2 linked regions of the Kluyveromyces lactis genome follow. The protein of the gene in region 1 purifies or fractionates together with the protein of each later gene. This does not show direct contact. Links are inferred from orthologs where the notes say so. Each region holds a gene or a part of one and is shown on either strand. Other genes may lie near its edges.

Region 1 (4,353 bases):
GGAAGGCCATTCATACTTCTCGCATTTTTAAATAACCCAGAATTTCAGGTCCTAGAGAGACATCCCACTGTTGCTCGTAAGGTTTTGAAGGTTATTTCAACTACCAACTGGCTCAAGGTTTTCACAGAAAATCTCGGAAGTAACAATAGATATGTCATTTTGCAAACCCTGCTTGAGTTGGAAAAGTATTTCAGCACAACCATTCACAGAAAACATGTCGACGTTGTAACAAAACATGACGATTCGTCGCACCTGTCCACGTTATTGGGGGCATTGCTTGATTCCACTTACAAATTTAGAAATAGAGATCTCAAAATTTGTCAAATAGCAGCATCATGTATTAGCCTGATAGGACTATTAGATGTTACCAAGCATGCTCTACCCAGGAATACTAATCTATCTGAAGAAATTTGTGACTTTAATAATCATTCCCAAACAGTCAAATTTTTAATCAGTATTGTAAACAACATTTTAGTACCCGCATTCTGGCAAAGTGAAAACCCCACAAAACAACTATTCGTTGCATTGGTGATGCAAGAATCTCTGAAGTATTGTGGGCTCAGTTCAGTTAATTGGGATATTAACAGACCCGATGATTATCCTGTAGAAGCTAAATTATGGTCCAGGTTTAATGATATCTCTAAGACCACTTTGTTTCCATTACTATCGTCGCTCTATCTTGCCCAGTCGTGGAAAGAATATGTTCCCTTGAGTTATCCTTCGTTTAAAGTGAAAGATGGCTACCAAGTGTGGATACGCAACCTTACTTTGGACTTGCTTAAGATAGGTACAGAGGAAGATCATCCGCTTCACGTTTTTTCTTCTTTGATCAGAGAAGATGATGGTACATTATCAAATTTCTTACTGCCATTCATCACGATGGATATCATTCTCAGAGCCAATAAACATAACGAGTATTCGAAAATCATCGAAAATCTCTCCATAGAGTTCGAGTTCATTTTCAATTTCGATCTTCAGCAACTAAATCACTTTCAGATAGACTCGCTCAAGATGGCTTACAATACCATTTTCAGGGTTTATGAATACTGTAAAAAATGGGTTAGTAGTTTCAAGCAAGACTATCAAGCAGCCAACGGAACTTACATGATTCAGGAGGATAAAGTTTTGCAAGTTTTGGACCGAACTGAGAGATTCGTAAACACAATACCGTCAGACACCCTCGCCAAGAAATCGTTGGAAACAGATTCCTTTGAACGCTCAGCGCTTTACCTTGAGCAAAGTTATAGAGAACACGGAACCTCGTCTTTGGCGTCCACCGACTTATTGCAATGTATTCAGAACACATATGCCGAAATTGGGGATGTAGACGCTGTAGGTGGTGTGCTAAAGATGTTTTCTACTGGGAATTTAACCACAAAAATAGAAGAACTGCAATATTCAAAAAACTGGAAAATGGCTCAAGACTGTTTTGAAGCTCTTGGTGATTTTAAGCTATCAGCTAATTCTACCACTAGTTCAGAACTGGTTAAGTCATCAAATATGAAAATGTTAAAGTCAATGTATAGCCATCAACTATACGAAGAACTATTGATGAAGGTTAAAGTGCATCTTCCTGAGACGAAGGGATTCTTGGTCGATAATGACGGAGATTTGTTGAATATGGGTATTGAAGCTGTCAGTCAAACTGGTAACATTGTTGAGTTAACGAGGTGGATTGAAAGAGTGGAGCACATTCAAATGTTTAACGATCCCTCATTACTTTTGCATTATAATATTGCCAAGGTTTTGCAAGCTGTTAGTAGAAATCAGCAGCAAAATGTGGAGCGCTATATAAACAAATGTTTCACTCTTATTGGAGCCCAATTTACCATTCCATCTACTAGCACAACTTTGTTGAAGAATCGAGAAGTTTTGCAAAAGCTTCACGCACTTACAGATATCAAACTGCTGTGCAGCGCACATACTCAGTCTGAATTTTCAAATGCTTCGAAAGCATTAGATGGTAGGCTGTCGCACGTAGGTTCGGATTTTTCTCCAAATCATTATCTTTTGTCAATAAGGAAAACTGTAGAAATTATTTCAAAGAATCAGCATCTACAGAATGACATTTCGAATGTGTATTTCCAACTTTCTCAGCTTGATCGTAAAGAAAATCGTCTTGATTTGGCAGCAGAAGATTTGATGAATGCTTTGAAATATAACCACCATTCCGCGGAGCTTGAGTTTGCAGAAATTTTATGGAAACAAGGTGAAAAAGATATGGCCTTGAAAACTGTTGCAGAGATAACAAAACGATTTAAAGATGATCCTTCTACTGCTTCCTCCGAAAATCAAGATTTCAAGGAAGTGCTATTGAAGTATACGGAGTGGTTGGATTTGTCTAATAGCTCGGTTTCTGAGCAAATTATCAAGCAATACAACGAGCTTATTCGTTTTGATAAAAATTGGGACGCTCCATTTTACTCTATGGGTTTGTATTACAGTAAGCTTCTGGAGAAGAAAAAGGCTGAAGGATATGTTTCTGATGGCTCATTAGAATATAGATCAATCACAAACTTTTTGACCTCTTTCGAGAAAGGCTCTCCCAACATAAGACAATCCTTGCCAAAAGTTGTCACACTTTGGTTAGACACAGCTAAAAACGACGTGAATAATAGCATTTCTGATGTTAGTAATTATTCTTCAAGAATCTGCAACAAAATCGATACGGCAGTCAAAAATTGCGGTATACATATATGGTATACCGTTTTAACTCAACTTCTCTCCAGGTTAATGCATCCTCATACCGCGACAATACACACCATTGTTAACATATTATTTCATATGACGTTGGAATATCCTTCAGTGATGCTATGGTATATATCGATTTTGTTGAACTCAGAAAGCCTGGAAAGAAGGAATATAGGGAAACAAATAGTTGAAGCATTCCAGAAAAAAAACCCAAGGACTAAATTACCAGGAACAGCGATATCATTGGTGCAGTCATTGACCAGGGTATGTATAAAAGACGTTAAGAATACTGCTAGCAGATCAGGGAGATCAATAGATAGTGATTTCAAATTTAATCTAGAACTCGCGCCAAATGACATGTGTGTGCCCGTCAACATTAATTTAAAGAAGCTTTTACCATCCACAGCTACGAGCATGAACTCAGATCTATTCAAAAGTGTCATGGTTTCCATCGCCAGATTTTCATCCCAGTACATGGTATTTAACAGTTTGAAAAAACCGAAAAAGCTCACTGTGATCGGCTCTGATGGAAATATTTACGGCATCATGTGCAAAAAAGAGGATGTCAGACAGGATAATCAATATATGCAGTTTGCCAACACAATGAGTTTCCTGTTGAGTAAAGATGTCGAGTCTAGAAAACGAAATTTAGGAATAACTACTTATGGTGTTCTCTCTTTACGTGAAGATTGTGGACTATTAGAAATAGTTCCTAACGTGGTTACGTTACGTTCGCTTTTGAGTATGAAATATGAAAGTATGAAGATAAAATACTCATTAAAATCATTACAGGAAAAATGGCAATCAATACCTTCGGACCAAAAGTTGGCGTTTCATAAGGACTGTTTGAAAAAGTTTCCACCAGTTTTATATCAGTGGTTTCTTGACAACTTCCCGGATCCAATCACATGGTATAACGCAAGAAATGGATTTGTCAGATCTTACTCTGTTATGGCAATGGTCGGCCATATATTGGGTCTCGGGGATAGACACTGTGAAAATATCCTTTTGGATGTCTTGACAGGAAGAGTCTTGCATGTTGATTTTGACTGTCTTTTCGAGAAGGGTAAAAAGCTTCCTGTTCCAGAAATTGTTCCATTCAGATTGACGCAAAATATTACTGACGCATTTGGTATTATTGGAACGGAGGGTACTTTCAAAAAGTCAAGTGAAGTTACTCTAAGAGTCATGAGAAACAATGAAATAGGTCTTGTAAACATAATTGAAACTATTATGTATGACAGGAAAATCGATGAGTCAATACAAAACGCCCTTAAAGTTCTTCGAGACAAAATTAGAGGCATTGATGCCCGTGATGGACTGGCTTTGAGTGTTAGTGGGCAAGTGGAAGCTCTCACTCAAGAATCATGTTCGGTGGAAAATCTAAGTAAAATGTATATCGGTTGGTTGCCTTTTTGGTAATTATTCCTTAAAATCTATGTTACAATTTTCTACAAAGTTTCTAGCGTGGAGGCAATGGAGGAGGAGGGCGTTTTTTCCGAACCTGTGCGTTGATTTCCGGGATCATGTTCTCTGCTTCCTCGAGAATATCTGAAGATGTGATGGAATGCGGATTCAGGTTTTCATTATTTGTAAATGAGTAGCTCATCTCATGTCTCCTATAAACATCTGGAGATGTCGGGGAGTAAGACCCAGATGTTG
Region 2 (2,267 bases), on another chromosome or scaffold:
CAGACCCAACCAGGAACTGCAATTACAGTAACAACATGGTCCAGAAGGTACGCAACGAGTGCAGTCACCTACTATACCAGTCTTCGGAACTCACTGGAACAAATGACCACTTACACCCCGGGTTGGTCCTACTCAAGAACTTCTGACTACAACTATGCAACTCCTGCGCCATTCCCCTCTGATAACGGTGGTTGGTATGACCCAACTGATAGACAAACATTAACCACCAGAAAACTGAACAACAAGAGAAGGTAAAAAGGTGATGATCCAATTATGATACAATCGTGCATGCATGCCCCTAGGGCTACTCTAATAACAATTTATTTTTTTTTGGTTGGCTTTCTGTTTAAGGATTACAAGAGATATTTTGGGTTTCCGTAATACTGCCTTCATATAAATATACTTATACAAATCAAAAAAAAAACACACACACTCATATATTTATAATTCTTTCCAGTTTTGTCCTCTCACCATCCTCCCCTCTTTTCAAACGTAAAAACTTAGTACAAATCTGGGAACTTGCCACTCAATTGTTGTAATGCAACTATACCAGAAACACTGATCTCTTCACCTTCTTTCAGCTCACATTTCACAGAATCAAGCACCATCAACCCAATATCACCGGTATCGACATTTCTGCAAACAAATTCGTACCAGGATCCAACCTCAATGTTACTTCCTTGTGACAGTTTCACTTGTGATAGCGTTATCATTTCTCCATTGGTTGTTGGAGATTGTAGGATTAACTCTTTTGGTTGTGGTTGATCTAACACCTTGGCTATGATACGAAACACTGAGTGCTGAGTATTGCTTATTTGGCTCGGGTCAATTCTTGGCGTTTGGTTGGACATCACTAGCGGTTGTTGGTTGCTGGTTGCTGCTGTTAAAGATGAGTCTGCTGTAATGACAAGTTCACGCGTTTTAACAAGATGCATTTAATATACAGAAATATAAATAAATTGATAACACAGGTTTTCGTGTGCAACTTTGTGACCGGGTAACATACAATTGGAAATTTTTCTTTTGATTTCATGACAACGGTCACGTGAACGCTATTTTTTCTTTCTTGTCATTCCACCAATTCCCAATAGAAGATCCATGCGGCCAGAGGAATGTAATGTGCATTATGTAATGAACAGATTCCTCCATGAAAAATCCAGGTCAATTGTATCAGTCTTAAAGTATGCTGACTCGACCTCGTCTTGTTCTAAACAGGCTGGAATTTGCCCATTTTTTTCGATATCCTCTCTGCCTTTTTTTTTTTTTTGCCCAAGCTTAGAAGTTGTCAGCTGCATGCTTCATGCTGGCTGCATAAAATATCAGCAAGATTATTCTCGGTCTTCGGTGCCTCTAAACGTACATACGGAAACAGAGTACAACAGAGGTACGGTATACCTGGATGTGTTCTTATAATGCACATATATATAGGTAAGTAGGTAAGTAATATGGTTTGTCAATCCACGGGCTTGTCCCACTTTTGGCTCTGGCATTTTGCTGCATCTTGGAACGCATTTATTTTCAATTGTTCTTTAGTCTCGAGAAGTCCCTTTTTTTTTGATAATTAAAATTTTAAAGATAATCAGCTCATCTTTAAGGCACACAGGTGGATAACAAGTGGATACCCTTGCTTTAGAATCGTATTAAACTCTATTGTAGGGTTCGTGTATTATCAAGGGCTCTAAAAGAAATATGGCAGACGAGAAACGTGATAAGCAGCCGGTGAAAGGCTCCAGTTCGAAGACTTTGGTTCTTCTATTGGCTTCGCTCTTTTTAGCGGGTTTTGGGTATTTGCTCCATAACCAGAATTACGACATCGAACAAGTCAAATCGTTGGTTGACCAGCATTTCAGTAATACGTTTGGAACTTCCATTGGAAAATTGGTAGTTGAAGAAGAAAATGATGATGATGAGATTGATTTTGACTCTGTATGCTTGAAGACAGAGCCAATTAGCCCATCCGGTGAGAGCTCCATAGAGAAGATTTTGAACGATGCTGAGTATAAGAAATTAGCTATTGAAAAGCTATCCGGTGCCTTGCAAATTCCTACTGAGATTCAAGACGTCAACCCTAGACCAAAGGATAATATTGAATATTATTCGGAGTTCTTTAAATTTCACAAATATTTGGAAGAACAGTATCCATTGGTTCATAAACATTTAAAGAAGGAATTGGTTAACGAGGTTGGATTGGTTTATACCTGGGCTGGTTCCAACGCGGATTTGAAACCTGTTATGTTCACTGCACACCAAGATGTTGTGCCAGTGAA

What was found.
Region 2: the proteins of MEC1 (region 1) and RFA3 purify together in Saccharomyces cerevisiae (affinity purification with mass spectrometry; 3 studies listed by BioGRID). This does not show direct contact. The link is inferred for Kluyveromyces lactis from reciprocal best matches to the Saccharomyces cerevisiae genes MEC1 and RFA3.

The regions. Positions count from the first base shown.
Region 1 is NC_006039.1:1,367,640-1,371,992, reverse strand, and holds the end of MEC1 (protein kinase MEC1), read left to right. Parts: coding exon 1-4,113; downstream 4,114-4,353. Other genes in the region: NVJ2 (Nvj2p), read right to left, coding at 4,154-4,353. UniProt on the Saccharomyces cerevisiae protein: Serine/threonine protein kinase which activates checkpoint signaling upon genotoxic stresses such as ionizing radiation (IR), ultraviolet light (UV), or DNA replication stalling, thereby acting as a DNA damage sensor.
Region 2 is NC_006037.1:587,524-589,790, forward strand, and holds RFA3 (Rfa3p), read right to left. Parts: upstream 852-2,267; coding exon 501-851; downstream 1-500. Other genes in the region: KRE9 (Kre9p), read left to right, coding at 1-255; CPS1 (Gly-Xaa carboxypeptidase), read left to right, coding at 1,690-2,267. UniProt on the Saccharomyces cerevisiae protein: As part of the replication protein A (RPA/RP-A), a single-stranded DNA-binding heterotrimeric complex, may play an essential role in DNA replication, recombination and repair.